Callithrix jacchus: one gene and its partners. The protein of the gene in region 1 interacts with the protein of each later gene in a pairwise test. Links are inferred from orthologs where the notes say so. Each region holds a gene or a part of one and is shown in the gene's direction. Other genes may lie near its edges.

The links.
Region 2: the proteins of UBXN11 (region 1) and ENKD1 interact in binary tests that used the Homo sapiens proteins (3 or more experiments, as listed by UniProt). The two-hybrid records come from large-scale screens. The link is inferred for Callithrix jacchus from reciprocal best matches to the Homo sapiens genes UBXN11 and ENKD1.
Region 3: the proteins of UBXN11 (region 1) and EIF4E2 interact in binary tests that used the Homo sapiens proteins (3 or more experiments, as listed by UniProt). The two-hybrid records come from large-scale screens. The link is inferred for Callithrix jacchus from reciprocal best matches to the Homo sapiens genes UBXN11 and EIF4E2.
Region 4: the proteins of UBXN11 (region 1) and RHOBTB3 interact in binary tests that used the Homo sapiens proteins (3 or more experiments, as listed by UniProt). The two-hybrid records come from large-scale screens. The link is inferred for Callithrix jacchus from reciprocal best matches to the Homo sapiens genes UBXN11 and RHOBTB3.

Annotation. Positions count from the first base shown.
Region 1 is NC_133508.1:62,927,459-62,930,968, reverse strand, and holds part of UBXN11 (UBX domain-containing protein 11), read left to right. Parts: coding exon 1-213; intron 214-490; coding exon 491-568; intron 569-1,529; coding exon 1,530-1,650; intron 1,651-1,767; coding exon 1,768-1,871; intron 1,872-2,996; coding exon 2,997-3,070; intron 3,071-3,146; coding exon 3,147-3,287; intron 3,288-3,366; coding exon 3,367-3,510. UniProt on the Homo sapiens protein: May be involved in the reorganization of actin cytoskeleton mediated by RND1, RND2 and RND3. Promotes RHOA activation mediated by GNA12 and GNA13.
Region 2 is NC_133521.1:25,174,546-25,178,657, reverse strand, and holds the start of ENKD1 (enkurin domain-containing protein 1), read left to right. Parts: upstream 1-1,311; 5' UTR 1,312-1,629; coding exon 1,630-1,714; intron 1,715-1,810; coding exon 1,811-2,005; intron 2,006-2,840; coding exon 2,841-3,013; intron 3,014-3,375; exon of another isoform or gene 3,376-3,606; coding exon of another isoform or gene 3,607-3,618; exon of another isoform or gene 3,619-3,989; coding exon 3,990-4,112. Other genes in the region: C20H16orf86 (uncharacterized protein C16orf86 homolog), read right to left, coding at 1-203, 567-793, 1,006-1,107. UniProt on the Homo sapiens protein: Microtubule-binding protein which regulates microtubule organization and stability. Promotes the stability of astral microtubules and facilitates the proper orientation of the mitotic spindle.
Region 3 is NC_133507.1:153,927,370-153,931,326, forward strand, and holds the start of EIF4E2 (eukaryotic translation initiation factor 4E type 2), read left to right. Parts: upstream 1-1,156; 5' UTR 1,157-1,192; coding exon 1,193-1,212; intron 1,213-3,957. UniProt on the Homo sapiens protein: Recognizes and binds the 7-methylguanosine-containing mRNA cap during an early step in the initiation. Acts as a repressor of translation initiation.
Region 4 is NC_133503.1:114,855,679-114,859,761, reverse strand, and holds the start of RHOBTB3 (rho-related BTB domain-containing protein 3), read left to right. Parts: upstream 1-1,282; 5' UTR 1,283-1,662; coding exon 1,663-1,664; intron 1,665-1,840; coding exon 1,841-2,066; intron 2,067-4,083. UniProt on the Homo sapiens protein: Rab9-regulated ATPase required for endosome to Golgi transport. Involved in transport vesicle docking at the Golgi complex, possibly by participating in release M6PRBP1/TIP47 from vesicles to permit their efficient docking and fusion at the Golgi.

The DNA of each region.
Region 1 (3,510 bases):
GACTCACTGGCACCCCCTGAGGTGGACTTTGACAGGCTGCTGGCCAGCCTGAAGGATCTTAGTGAGCTGGTGGTAGAGGGTGACACCCAGGTGACACCAGTGCCTGGTGGGGCGCGGCTTCGTACCCTGGAGCCCATCCCGCTGAAGCTCTACCGGAATGGTATCATGATGTTCGACGGGCCCTTCCAGCCCTTCTGTGATCCCTCCACACAGGTAGGAGTGGTGTAGGGGGCAGTGTGCTAGTGCCCCTGTTCTCCACTGTTAGTTGGGGATGATGGAGCCAGCTCCCCCCAGGCCCAGCCTGCCCTCCACAGGGCACCCAGGCCAACGCACAACCTGCAGAGGTCCCTCCCCAAGCCCTGGGACTCAATGTTTCCAGAGGGTGTGACACTGGGTGACTCCGGATCCAGGGACTGGCATCCAGACCAGTGGCAGGGCAGGGTGGGTGCAAGCCCCAGGCTCCCCCTTCACTTTTCCTCTCCCCTTACAGCGCTGCCTCCGAGACATACTGGATGGCTTCTTTCCCTCAGAGCTCCAGCGACTGTACCCCAATGGGGTCCCCTTTAAGGTGAGCTGCCCCTCAAACTATACCTTTGGAGATTTGGATGGAGTGGGGATACACAGCCTCACGAAGCAACTCCCATTCTGAGGGGAAGCCACTGCGCCCCCTGGGGGACCCCAGTCTGATGCCTTCCAGGAGGATGAGCCTGAAGCCCAGCTGGGAAGGGAGTGGAGAGGCTGGGCAGCAAGCAGCGCCCTCTGCTGGCACTGTGGAGACAGCCTTGGCTGCGGGGCCACTGCCTCCTAGTCCTCCCCAGCATTCAGGACACCTTGACAAGCTGCAGTCCCTGCAGAAGTGGCCCGGCTTCCCTCAAGCCTCCTGAAGCTATCTGGGTAGGGTGGGAGGCAGGGCTGTGAGCCACAAATGCAAAGCAGAGGGGACAGATGTTGGGACTCAAGGACAAGGTAGAGCGGGCCTGTGGGTAGGTGCCACCACCAGAGCCCATGAGACTATGTGTTCCAGTGGGTGGTGGGTTAGTGCCGCAGTGAGGGCACGTCAGGGAGGGAGCATGTTGCCACCAGGGCTCAGGAAACAGCATGAGTCATGACTGGGGGCGTTGAAGGCATCTGTGCCACCATGGGGGCCTCGTAGCTATCCCTTGATGAGGCAAGTGAGGTGCCGTGTACGATGATGGGGTTTGTGCTGCAGACTGGACAAAAGCAGGGGCTTCGTCCTCTCCTGACCCCCTCACACTCTGTTTTCCTGGTAGGCTCCTGAGATGGGGGTCTCTGAGGAGGGTGTCAGTACTGCAGATTCAGCTAGTGTGGATGGGTGCTTGTAGGAGCAGCAGGGTCCAGGGAGGTGACATTAGAATGAACTATGGCTCTCCTGAGGCCTGGGTTTCCTCATCTTTAAAATGGGGGTTGCATTAGACCATACCCTGGCATGTGTTTGGGCAAATAGCAATGAAAGTGCGGCCAAGGGCTGAAGAGCTGAGCCCGCTGCTGTCTCCCTTCTTTCTTGCCAGGTGAGTGACTTGCGCAGTCAGGTCTACTTGGAGGATAGTCTGGATCCCTTCCCAGGCGAGGGCCATGTGGTGGACCGGCAGCGGATGCGCAAGGCCTTGGACAGGGTGGAGGAGCACCCAGGTGAGTTTGGCCTCCAGGCTGAGCCAGGGCCCGGGGAACCGAAGAACAAGCTCTAGGTGGGCTCCAGCACCACTCACAGTCCTTCCTGGGCCTTGGTTCCCAATGACCCCCCTGCAGGCTCCAGGATGACTGCTGAGAAATTTCTGAACAAGCTTCCCAAGTGTGTGATCTGGCAAGGCGAGGTGATTGACATCCGGGGCTCCATCAGGGATACCTTGCAGGTAAGGCCAACCCTGACTCGCCCAGCCCTCTTAAGGGAACTTTATCATCAGCCCTGGTCCAGCTGCCAGAGCAGTGTCCTATCTGGAGATTCAAGCTGGAGGCCGCTGATGAGTCCCTCAGAGCTGTTGCTCCACTGTCTCCTGGAAACTGTGAGGCTGGTGAGGGCAATGGCTGGGCCCCAGGAAGCAACTGGGTTTGTTGTAAGAGGGCTAAAGTCAGAGTCCAGGCCAGGGGCGAGCCCAGCACCCAGGCCACCCCATCAAGGTCTAAGCCAAAATATCCAACTCAGTACTGGGTACTCCCTTCGTGGTGGCCCTACAGGCCCCTCAGACTCTACCTGGCCCTCATCATTCTGTCTCCTCACTCCCTATCCTGCCTCTCCTTCTAGGTGTCCACCTGTGAAAGGCACCAAACCTGTTTCTCAGGCCTCCCTTACACATTGCTAAGTCCTGTCTGGTCTGTCCACCCCTAGAACTTCTCCCCATTAGCAGCACCCACCACCCTAGTCTAGGGTCTAGAGTGTCTCTCCCAGACAGCTGCCTCCGACCACCACTCCTGCCCCTGCTGACCATCCTCCAGGCTACCTTTCCTGTTGAAATCTTCCAGTGGTTCTTGGTATAAAGCCAGGTTCCTTGTGCTGGCACTCAAGGCCCATCCTACATTGCCAGGCCCCTCCTCATACCAGCTTTTTCCTTTCAGTCCAATTGATCCCCAGCTTCAGCCACACATACTGCTGGGAGTTGCCCAAATGCATCACCTCCTCTAGGAAGCTTCCCCTGACCCCAGGATCTTTGTTGATGCTGTCTGGAATATTCCTGCACCCATTCCACTTCTAAGAACTCGCACTCATCCTTCAGTCACAGCTCAGTTGTCATTTTCCAGGGAAAGCCTTCCCTGACCCCAGGCTGCCACAGGCTTCCAGCCTGGTCATCATCTGTCTCCATTAGACAGAGCATCCTTCCCCTTCCATTACCTCTCCTCTGGTCTTGGTTCATACAGAACACCCCCTCCCGCTTTGCTCACTGGTCTCATCTGTCCCTGGTCAAGGATGTGTCCCTCTAAGGATTGGGGGATGACTCAAATGGGGTCTAAGGCTCTGTTCCACCTCTGTTGATACCTTCTAGAACTGCTACCCATTGCCTGCCCGGATCCAGGAGATAGTGGTGGAGACGCCCACCTTGGCCGCTGAGCGAGAAAGGTGAGGGCAGGAAGGGGAGGTGAGGGCCTGGGGGTGTTGGGTCACTGGAAGCACTGATGGCCTCTGGGTTGTGCAGGAGCCAGGAGTCGCCCAACACGCCGGCACCCCCGCTCTCCATGCTGCGCATCAAATCTGAAAATGGGGAACAGGTCTTCCTACTGATGATGCAGCCTGACAACACCATCGGGGACGTGCGAGCCCTGCTATCGCAGGCCAGGTGGGGGCAGGGCAGGGCCGGGACCACAGAGGGGCTCTGGCCCCACGGCCCAGCCTGATCTGCTGTGCCTGGTCCCCAGGGCCATGGATGCCTCTGCCTTTGAGATCTTCAGCACATTCCCGCCCACCCTCTACCAGGACGATGCACTCACGCTGCAGGCTGCAGGCCTTGTGCCCAAAGCAGCACTGCTGCTGCGGTCACGCCAAGCCCCGAAGTCCAGCCT
Region 2 (4,112 bases), on another chromosome or scaffold:
CTAAGGATGCAGACGCCGTGCTGGCCACAGAGTGGAGCACAGGAGCCCCCAGGCTCTTGCGCTTCTTGGCTTTTTTGTGCTGTTTGGCAGATGATGAGACCTCACTCTGGCTACCCTCTCGCTCCTCCTCCTGCAGCAGCAGCCTGGGTGGCAGCTCAGCTTCAGCCCTCAGATGGGCATGGTGGCCTGGGAGGCTGAGGGACCTGAGCCAGGGACAAGAAACTTGAGGAGCCAGGCTCCAGCCCTGGCCCAGGGAATAGCCCAGCCTGCCCACCACCCCAGGGCTCAATGCCTGCCTGGTTCATGGTCAGTGAGGCCCCAGGCCCAAGAGAGGCTTAGAGCCAGGTGAGCCCAGTCCCCTACAAACCCTGAAGCCCCCTCTCTCCTGCCGCTCCCTACACAGGGGTAGTAGGGGGAAGGTCTTCAGGAACAGAAAGAGAGGGGAGTGAGGGTAGTACTGGTGGACACAAGAATCACACTTGCAGGAGTGCAGGATTTAGGAATCCTACTGGAGTGTGAGCCCCATCCCTGGGCCTGCAGCTCCTTCCCTCCGAGAGCCCCCTCACTTGACAGGCTTCCTCTTTGGACCATGATGGGGCCTTACAGAGACCACGGGCCTGGGGCCTCTCTCCTCTAGTGCCCCAGCCTCCGGCTTGGGCCTCTCTTCCCCCAGTTTGGGTCCTTCCTCCTGGAGCTCCGGCTCTGAGGAGGCTCCTGCTGGGGGCTGGTCTTCACCATGGGTCCCACCGGCCTCATGGGCTGGCACCAGGAACTGGTCTCCCGTCACTGGACACTAGAGGTGACACACAGACCATCTGTCACCATGGCCGGGCAAAAGATATAGGGATCAGTCACTGAACACCTAACATTAGACACCGAAACAGCCTGTGTGCCTCTCCCCTCCTGGAGAGCCCAGCCAGCCAGTTAGGGAGTCGGGGCGCTCAGAGTTCCACCTCTCAGAGCTCTACGGCTCCGTGTTTGAATGCTAAACAGCCTGATGGTCACCTCAGAGGTCTGAGCGCGGCCAGGGTCCTCCGCGAGCAGTGCCTGCCCCACGACCGTCGCCTCCTGGAACCCCGGCCGCCTCTCCGCCCCTGCCGAGGCCATGGCTCCGCAGGCTCAGTGCATCCTCGTCCTGGGGCGGACCCGAGGGGTTGGATGGTGGCCCTGCGCGGACCCCGGAGACCGGCCAGCAAGCGAGCACAAAACTGGGAAGCGAGACCGGCGGCCACCCTCGGCCGAAACTACAAGCCCCAGGAGGCTTTGCGCCAGGGTCAGTGAGCCCTGACCCCGGGGACGGAAGCCACGGTTGCCCGGCAACAACAACTCCCGTCGAGTGGCTACAGCTGGCTGCAAAACCGCTCGAGTGATCCCCTGCCCGAGTGCCGCGGGGGGTGGGGCGCGAGCGGGACCGGGAAGTGGGCTGGGAGCAGAGGTCGTGGAGGCGACAAACGAGGCCGAGGTCGGGGCGGGGACTGGGAGGGTCCTGGGACGGGCGGCCCTCCTTGGTCCAGGTTAGGGTCAGGGTCCCGGACTAGGGAGGAGGCCTGGAGCTGGGAAGGGGGCCCAGGGAGGGAGGTATAGAGCTCGACAGGACTCGGAGCCCCTTTGAAGGGCGGCGCCGGCGGCATGTGCGAGGGCCCGTCCCGTATCTCCGGGCCCATCCCCCCAGACCCGACGCTTTGCCCTGACTACTACCGGCGGCCGGCCTCTGGTGAGTACGGGGGCGCGGCGGTGGCGAGAGGCTCGGGGGTCGGCCTCGGCTCCACCTCTGAGCCCCGCATTCCACCCGGCTCCACCCCACACGCAGCTCAAGGACGACTAGAGGGGAACGCGCTGAAGCTGGACTTGCTGACCTCGGACCGAGCCCTGGACGCCACCGCTCCCCGTGGGCCCTGCATCGGTCCCGGCGCCCGAGAGATCATGGAGCGCCGCCGGCGTGGCGTCGGCGACGTGCTGTTGCAACTTGAGGGCATCTCCCTAGGTCCTGGGGCCTCTCTCAAGAGTAAGTCCCAGGAAGAGAAGAAGGGGCAGAGAGACAGTTTGGGGTGGAAAGACATCAAAGCAGCTGCCCTTTCCCCCCTGACCTCGGCCCAGGCTTTGCTCTCTTGAGTCTCAGTTTCCCCAACCATAAAAAGGGGGAGAAATGTGCTACCTTCTCGGAGGGGAACTGAGTGAGGTAGTTCCCACAAAGTCCTAGCTCTGCTTCATGCATTTATTACCCGTCAAACTTGTGTGCCAGGCCATATAGGTGCTAGAACACAGGGTTGAAGACAAGCATGATCCATCGAATCAAGGTGGGAGACAAAGAACAGGAGATGAATGTCATGTATGAGATAATTAATAGTATACTTCACTGTAATAATGGAGAAAAACAGCTGGGAGCAGTGGCTCATGCCTGTAATCCCAGCACTTTGGGAGGCCGAGGCGGGCGGATCACTTGAGCCCAGGAGTTGGAGACCAGCCTGGCCAACATGGTGAAACCCCATCTCTGCAAAAAATACAAAAATTAGCCCGGTATGGTGGAGTATGTCTCTAATCCCAGCTATTCAGCAGGCTGAAGTGGGAGGATCACTTGAGCCAAGGAGGTTGAGACTGCAGTGAGCTGTGATCATGCCACTGTACTCCAGCCTGGGTGACAGAGTGAGACCCTGTCTCAATTAATGAGAAAAATCATCACGAGATACTAAATACGTGAGGAAGGGAACACGATGATGAGGCAGACGAGAGGTCGGGGGCTCTTTCTGTAAGGGGCGGAGGACAGGCCTGTGTGTGAACTGGTGGAAATTGGATTGTGTGGGCCATATGTAGGGCAGAGCCTTGCAGCATCTGTTCTCTAGGGAAGGACCCTAAAGACCATGAGAAGGAGAACCTGAGGCGGATCAGGGAGATTCAGAAGCGCTTCAGAGAACGGGAGCGCAGCCGGGAGCAGGGCCAGCCTAGGCCCCTGAAAGCTCTGTGGCGTTCGCCCAAGTACAACAAGGTGGAGTCCCGCGTCAAGGCCCAGCTGCAGGTACCTGCCTCAGGGCACCGGATGTATTAGTCATTTTGTTGGCCAACAGGCAACTAACTATATTCTGATCTGGGGAGGGAGGAAAGTCACAGAGGTAACAGAGGACTAAGAGACCCTGACTCTGCTGCAGGGCAGGACTGAGGGGGGCCTTCTCAAAGTCATGATGGGGGGAGCTGATCCTAAGGGGCAAGCAGCAGTTATGCAAGGGGACAGCAGTAGAGAACATTCCCAAAAGATGGAACCTCCCCAACCACAGGACACATAGCAGTGGAGATGCTAGGTACAGGACACATAGCAGTGGAGATGCTAGGTACAGTTCAAAGGCGTGAGGTTAGACCAAGAAGTCAGCCGGACCCACATCATCAAGGGCCACATTAACCACTTTCAGCCTTTATTTCTGAGGACAGTGGGAAGGGCAGAAGTATGGTGGGGGGTGCTCTGTCTTGGGTAGAGAGCAGCACCATCCCTCCATCCAAGGACTCAGCAGGAGGAGTAAGAGTGAGAGGAAAGGCAAGGTCACACGAATGTGTCAGGGCTGAAGCATCTGTGGCGCTCCCAGGGGGTGGGAGTGTATCCAGGAAGCAGATGGAAATTCAGGACTGGATCTGAGGAGTAAGACCTAGGAGTTACTGTCAGGTTGAGGACAACGAGACCAAGGAAGTGACCGCCTGGATTTGAGGACTTGGAGGCCAGCCATCAGGAACTTTGGGGGACTAGAGCCGGAAGCTTGGCTAGGAAGGAGGGGAGAGAGTGGTGGCTGGCCCAGTACTGAGGTAGAAGGAGAGGTGGTTACTGTTTTCTTAAAAATCTGATATCCACACGTTTATGTGCTGATGAGGACAAGTGTCCCTTGAGGAGGGAAGATGCCCCGAGGGACATGGATGCAGAGGTCAGAAGGGCCAAAAGAGCCAGAGTCCTGAGGTTTCAGCCCCAGACCTCAGCCTGCTTGCTCTCTCTGCTGTGCCCTGCCCTCCAGGAGCCTGGCCCTGCCTTTGGGACAGAGTCTGCCCACTTCCTGCGGGCACACTCCCGCTGTGGCCCTGGCCTCCCACCACCCCGTGTTTCCAGTCCCCAGCCAACCCCACCAGGTTCTGAAGCT
Region 3 (3,957 bases), on another chromosome or scaffold:
TAGAGTTGAACAGAGTTAGGGCCTTGCTCTGGGTTAGGCCTTGGCTTAAAGGAACGTCGCGGCTGGTATGATCTTCTAACCAGGCCACTAAAACTTTCTCCATATCAGCGATAAGGCTGTTTCGCTTTCTTATCATTCGTGTGTTCATTGGAGTAGCACTTTCAATTTCCTTCAAGAACTTTTCCTTTGCATTTACAACTTGGCTAACTGTTTGCCGCAGAAGGCCTAGCCTTCGGCCTATCTCAGCTTTTGACATACCCTCCTCACTGAGTTTAATCATTTCTAGTTTCTGATTTAAAGTGAGAGACGTACGACTCTTCCTTTCACTTGAGCACTTAGAGGCCATTGCTGAGTTATTAATTTGCCTCATCTCAATATTGTTGTGTCTCAGGGAATAGGGAGGCCCAAGAAGAGGGAGATGGGGAACAGTCTGTGGGTGAAGCAGTCAGAACACACACAACATTAAGTTCGCTGTCTTATAAAATATAAAAGATGCAGTATGTGGCACTCCAAAACAATGACAATAGCAACATCAAAGATCACTGATCACAGATCACCATAACAGACACAGAAATCATGAAAAAGTCTGAAATATTTTGAAAATTACCAAAATGTAACACAGAGACACAAAGTGAGCACACGCAGTTGGAAAAATGGCGCTGATACAATTGCTGGGCTCAGGGCTGCCACAAACCCTCAATTTGTTTTTAGAAAGCCCTATCTGCAAAGCGCAATAAAACGAGGAATACCATAATAGAGTGGCGCCGCCGCCAAAGGAAAGCCTTGGGGAGGTTAAGAGAGATGCCGGAGGGTGCGTCCCGCACTGGAGGAGGAGGAGGAGGGTTTTTACCAAAGCAGCGAGTCCAGAGTCCGCGCCGTCAACGACCGCGGTGCTGTCTTTTTTCCGAGCCGCTGCGGGAGGGTGCCAGGACATGCTCCCTTAGGAGAACTGGCGGCTCACAAACACCGGGACTGGGAAAAACCTGAAGCCAGCAGTCAGCTCCGCTGCCTAGGCCAGCCCTCTGCGCAGCCGCCCCGGGCTGGCGTCCCGGGATAGCAGCCCCCAGCCGGGCCTGCGCGCCGACGTTCCGGTGCGCCTCGCGCAAAACCGGAAGTAGCCGGGCCTAAGGCTGAGGGACCCGGTGGAGCGGAAGTCACTCCTTGAGGCAGTGGCGACAGCGGCGGCGAGAGGATGAACAACAAGTTCGACGCGTGAGTGGCTCCTGGCCGCCCCTGGGGCCCCTTCCTCCAACCGTTCCCCGCTCCCGCCCCCACTGGGGCTGAGGAGGTGCAAAGCCTGCGGCACCGGCTTCCCTCCCGGGATCCGGCAGCGGCCGGACCTGGCCTGGGCTGGAGGGGAGGAGGGGGCTGGGGAGCGATGGCTACAGGGGTTCCTGGGACCCCAGGGCCGTCCGGACCGAGGGCGAAGAGCTGGGCGTGGGGAAGGGGTGGCTGTGCCGCCCTGTAGGGGGAGATTTTCGGACGCCCCGCCCCGAAGATGCGGGTTGCCGGCGACGTGGAGGGGTGGGGACCTCGGCGGTTTGGGTGTTTCCGCAGTCTGGCCGCACTGCCTTTGAATCTAGCTTTCCTCACACACTCCCTCTCCCTTCTGAGCCTCAGTTTTCTCATCTGCAGAGTGGGGACGGTAACAGCCTGTGTCTTAGAGTTTAGCGGATGCAGGGAGGTAACGTGGCTGCTGCGCTCGGCGCAGTGGAAGGCTCGCTTAGGAATGATATTCCTGAGACTCTACTTTCTTTCTCCTCCCCCTCCGGTTCCCATCTTCCTACACATTCGCCCAGAGCTAGGTATACTTGTTGCCCTCTCCGGTTCCTAGTTTCAGCATCAAACGGTTTGGAGGTACAGAGAGAAAATGCAAAAGTATTTTTACTTATCCCCCTCCAAGGATTGTATCTTGAGGTAGAATATGCTCCTACTCTCTTCTAGTAAATCTGTCTCTTCATCCGAAGACCTGGATTTCTAGTCTCAGACTTACCGCTTTCCAGCTGTTTGCAGAAAAGTTACCCAGTCTCTGAGTCGTTGTTGCTTAAACCACATTAGTGGATAGTATCCTGCTGCCACACCGGGGTGTGAGAAGGGTCAGCTCACACTCAGCAGTGCTTAAAGATACTTGTGAACATTGCTAACTATTGCGATATAACCGTAAAGTGGAATTACTATTAGTTTAGGTTGTGACCTGGTGCTATTGACGGGAAATTGGGTTTTTTTCCAATACAGCGAGTACTGTGCAAATTCAGGGAGTACTGGATTTCCAACACTCCAGGCAGATGGCTCCTCAGCAATGTTTCCTGGCTGCCGAGATGTCTCTGCTATTTGAGAAAGTCTTTTCTCTATCCTGCTGTTTAACTGAGCCCATCCTATACGAACCTCTCCCCTCACTCCCACCCCATTTCATCTCTCTTGTAAACCGTGCAACACCCAGCTTCAGATCCAAATCCTGCCTAAGTGGAGCTTTCTGGGACCCTTATTCCCCTTCCTCCACTGATTTGAACAAATCAAATTTCATCCTAAGAAGACGTTTTATGGGTCATCTAGCTTAAGCCTACCCAAATCATGTGGGGGTCTGCAGTAAGAATGGTAATAATGGACTTCCACAGGGATCTTGCTAGGTACTTTTCATATAAATATATTTTTACAGACAGAGTCTCACTCCGTCACCCCTGGCTGGAGTGCAATGGTGTGATCACAGCTCACTGCCCACTTGACCTCTCGGGCACCAGCAATCCTCCCATCTCAGCCTCCAGAGTAGCCAGGACCACAAGCATGTGCTACCCTGCCTGGCTAAATTTTTTTGTATTTTTTGTAGAGACAGTTGCACCTTGTTGCCCAGGATCTCAAACTCCTGGGCTCAAGAGGTCTACCCACCTTGGCCTCCCAAAGTGCTAGGATTACAGGGGTGAGCCACCGCCCCCAGTCTCATGTTATTTCTACTCTAACAATTCTGAAGGGGATCTTGTTATCTCCTTTATGGATAAGGAAAATGAGACTGAGGTTAAGTAACAGGAAGCGCTCTCCCAGGTTTGTGGTGTAACCTTGGTTCAAGCACCTTGAGACAAAAATTATATTTGGCCTTTTTTTTTCCTTATGTCTTTAATGAAAAACCTGGGTCATCTTAATTACTTTGAATTATTAACTATTACATTGAGCCAGAATCTTTTAACATCTGCCCTCTAGCATTGCAGGAAAGAAAATGAAAAACAAGCTTTCTTTCATTTGAAATTAGCAATTGAAAACAGCGCTCCTGGCCCTAGTTTTATTTTTTTATGTTGTTTTTCATTCAGAAATTCTGTGGTGTTTAGGCCATTGCTGTATATTTGGAGTCTTTACCACGTTACTCTCCTTACTAATCTTCACTCTTTACCACATTGCTCCTGAGGACATGTTTCAGTTTGTCAGAAGCCTAGAAGTCCAGTGGCTGGAGCTTAGTACATAATCTAGTGGGCTCAGATTAAAGAGTAGCTCTACTCTCCATTACTGTATAGACTCAACTTCTCTGAATGAAACCTTTTATTGTAATTGCTTTCGTGGAGAAGGGGTAGACTTGCCAAGTCCTTAGATCACATTGCCATTGATCCTATTGATATGTAAAACCCTAAGATGCTATCACAAAAACTGCAGTCCTGACTTTGTTAAACATGGTTTTCAGATCTAGACAACTATACTGATTTTGTCCCTATTCTATGTCATTTGCTTTTTACTCTGTATCGTTAACTTTGGGCCCCTTCCTAACTATTGTCTAAACCACTTATTTGGCACTCATTGCTTTGATTCTAGAGACCATTCATTAAATAGGGATTTGTTTTATGCCACTGTCTGATGGTGGTGGTATAAAGATGAATTGAACTAAGGTCCTACCCACAAGGAATTGGTCTAGTTCAGAGGGTGAGGAGATACCTGGGCAGAAGCTTAGCAAGCTGACTTAAGTGCCTCTCAATCTGG
Region 4 (4,083 bases), on another chromosome or scaffold:
CGATGAGAAATATATTTTCTATTAGCCCAAGATAAAAGGTGATCCTGCATGCTGAAATTTTTAAGGATGGTTTAGGTTCTAGAGACTAAAAGAGAAATCATACAGAATGCAAAGGGAAATCAGATTTTTAAAAAATCAGTGACCACGTAAAGAATGTCTCATTATATTCTCTCTGAGCAAGAGAAACTATTAAACTGCTTTCAACTGAGCAAGTCAGCTGTTATCCTAGTCTTTTTTACTGCCTTACTCAATAACCCCCCTTTCATACCCTCAAAACAGCTCAGTTGAGAAAATAAAGTCCAATTTTACAGAAGGGGAAAATTAATAGAAAAAAGGATAAGCAACACTTTTCAACAGAGTAGGGTACTGGTAAGAATTTTAATACTGTATGGAGGAGTCTAACCCCAGAGTAATCAATCCCTGGCCCATTTCTGTGTTAGTAAGTGGATTCCAGTGTTCCTTTGTATTGAGGTAGTTTGAGGCACGTTGGGGATATTCATAACCTTTACTTCAGTGCATTATTATGAAACAGTCTAAAGTATCTTTGCATTCCCATGATCATTCTGTTTCAGTTGGTCTGCTAACTCACCAACACATTAAACCCCCATATGTAACTTCCTTTTAAAAAAATCACACTAAAAATCCCAGCCTTTAAAATCCTCAAGTTTTCAGTAGAATATGCTAAATATAGCTTGAAATAGTAAATAATCCCCCCAAGGCGACATTAGCAAATTAATTGGTGTGTGAACAAAGAACCCTTTCTGTGGCAGCATGAATGTTGCCTTTATTTTTTCTCCTGAGTGTGATTTTAGAAAACAGCTGTAGCGCATGTTGACGAATGACAAAGCGGCAGACGCGGTAAAGCACTTTTGGTCAAGGCCAAGAGCGTGGGGACTCGGGTGGCTGGAGCGGCGCTCCGGCTGGAATCCCTCGCTTTCCTAACCTTCTTTTTCCAGTCCGGAGTGAGCGGGGGCCCCATCGCCCCACCCCTCTTTCCTGGCTCTGGTTACGGCCTTGCAAGTTGAACAAACTTGCTGCAGGCGGATTGGCGGCCCGGAGCTCTCGAGCTGGGACCTTGTATTTATTAATTTATATTCCGCGACGCCCCGCGCGGGCCGCTCCTTTGTGTCCGGCCGCCGACGCCGGAGCTCGGGAGCCTCGGCCGGGAACGCGTCCCCCAGCGTCCGCCCGACCCCCAAGGCCGGCACGTGCTGCGCCCGGTCCGCCGAGGGGGCGGAGGCCCCGACCGATCTCCCCGACTGCCCCCGCCCCCCCGCTCTCTGCCTGGAGGAGGAGGAGCAGCGGCAGCAGCAGCGGGAGGCGACAGCTGCCGGCTGAGGAGGAGCGGCGGAGAGGGGACTGCGGTCAGCGGCGTCCACTCGGGGCTGCGCGGCGGCCTCACGCCCGGCGATGTTCCGGGGCGCTCCCTGAGTGGCGGCAGCGCGCCCCCCGCCCGCTTGCCCCGGCCCCCACGCCCCGGTTTCCTAGCCGGCAGGCGCGGCCCCGGCCCCGCTCTGCGTCGGCCCCGCCGCTGTGGAGGTGCGTGAGGGGGACGCGGCCGGGGATGAACGGATTGCGGGTGAACTCGCCGCCTGGGGGCCACGCGAGGCCGTGAGCCGCTGCTTTTCTCCGGGTCGCCGCCCTGCCCTTGGATTTGAAATCATGTACGTACGCGCCGCCGTCCGGCCATTGTCTGTCTCCAGCGCGTGCCGTGCGCCCCAGGGACAGGGGCTGCTGCCCATCCTGGCCGCGCGCGGCCCCCCGCACTTCCTGTTCCGAGGACGGATCCGCACGCTGACCGCGCTTCCCTTCTCCCCTCGCCCCCTCTCTGTCCTTGCAGGTCCATCCACATCGTGGCGCTGGGGAACGAGGGGGACACGTTCCACCAGGACAGCCGGCCGTCGGGGCTCATCCGCACTTACCTGGGGAGGAGCCCTCTGGTCTCGGGGGACGAGAGCAGCTTGCTGCTGAACGCGGCCAGCACGGTCGCGCGTCCCGTGTTCACCGAGTATCAGGCCAGTGCGTTTGGGAATGTCAAGCTGGTGGTCCACGACTGTCCCGTCTGGGTAAGGAACAGCAGCTGCTCCACGCCGGGGCTGAAGGAGCTTTTTTCCCTCCTCCTGCTTCTGCTCACTTCCGTGAGTGTGGAGTGTCAGCGTTACATGGGTCGAATTTTTAAACATTTTTGAGAAAATCTTTGGTCTTTTGTTTCACTGGGCAGGGGATAGCCCCGTCAGCGCACACTCTTGGGAAGATAAAAGGCCCCAGTGGGAGTGTGGAGCACTTACTGGTACACTTCAGGACTGTGGGTTGTCCCTTGGTAGGCAGCTGACAGTTGAATGTGCCAATTCCAAGGGATGGGGTCACTAAGTTTCACTAGCAAAAAGCAGTGCTTTTTTTTTTTTTAATGCCTACCCTGTGGGTGATAGTGTAATATTGGTATTCTAAAAATACACCCTCAAAGCTCAACACAGGCAAAAATACTTTTCACTGGGACAGTTCAGAAATAGTTCCTCTGGAAAGTGGAGGAAAAGGCAGGGACTGGGAATTAATTTTAAATGACTCATTTATAGCACTATTATTTGAGCTCTGAAAATTTTAATTTTAATGCAAATACTCTTTAAGTATTAGCCATTTGTTTTAGTAATTCATAAATCAGAACATTACTAATATTGCGTGGAAAACTTTTTAAAAAATTTTTGCAATAGTTAAACAAAATTGTAGTGAAGTGGATAAATGGTAGTCTGATTCTTGAGTGTTTGATGAAAGGAAAAGGGAATTTGCTTCCTGACACATGTAAGTATTTTCAGTATACAATAACATGTTTTGAATGTTTTCTTTTAATCTTATTTGAAAATCTCTGATTCTTTAGTGGTATTGGAGTTACCTACGTTTCAGCTAAATGTTATATTTAGTAACAGAAGAAAGTGTAGTGCCTGAAAAAATACAAATTATCATTGTGTGAGATTTCTTATTTAAACAGCAATATTAAAAAACTGAATCAGGGCTATAGGAAACTATCACATCATTCTAAAAAATGTGTAAAATGTACTTAGAAAAATTTCTTATGCAAATTTTCATATAACAGAAAGAAAAGATCATTTGCTCGTATAAGTTTTCAGTTAAAGAAGAAAGTTATGTTAATTTGGTAAAATTTAAAATAGGCCTTTTCAATTAAGAGATACCATTAAACCCCTAGTTATAATAGTGATGACGTTGTTCATAAGAAGTATTGACGGAGAACTTACCGGCCAGAGTCTATGCAGGCAAATGAAACACTTCTTTTGCTTTTGGTCTTTCATCGTGAAAGATCTTACAGTCTAAAATCATAATGGTACAACATGCAGTTGAACAAATGTTTAGTGAATAGAGTAAATAAATGGAGGGAAAATAAAATTAGCTACGTTAGAATGTTAGAATTGCTTTCCCTGTGTTTAATTTGAGCTGTTAACATTTTCCTGTTTATATTGTTAATTTCACGAACAGCAATGCTTGTGATCCCATATACTTTGTCTAGTCAAATGAAATCTTCCAAATGGATAAAATAAGCCTCTGTAGTCGGGATTTTTGCTATAACCTGGTTGTTATGGTTTATTATGCAAATCACTTTTTGTTTGGTTAGACTCTGGCCCTATTTAAGGCACCAAGTTTGTAACCCAGTACAATTTTCTAGGTTATAAAGGTCTTCGGACATGAGATTCCATTTCTAGGGTTGCTCTTTATAAGGTGCTTTTCTTCACTTGGTGGTAAGTAAAGCCCATCAGAGATATTACAACTGATTGCATTAATCAGCTGTTATTTGAGTATGTATAGAATCAGAATATTAAATATAGCAGAGCAGATAGAGTACAGCCTTTGATATCAAAGGATCTGATTTCGGATTCTAACATTGCCATTTCATGCCTGTGTGTCCTTGTTAAATCATTTACCTTCTCTCAGCCGTATTTTCCCTATCTACATCATAATCTGTCTCCTAGACCTGTGCTGAGAAGTGAATGAGAAACTAGCACATGTCAAGTTTAAGTATAGAGGCTGGCTTTTAGTAAGTGCCTGTAAGTGGTAGCTAATATAAAAATTAAGTGT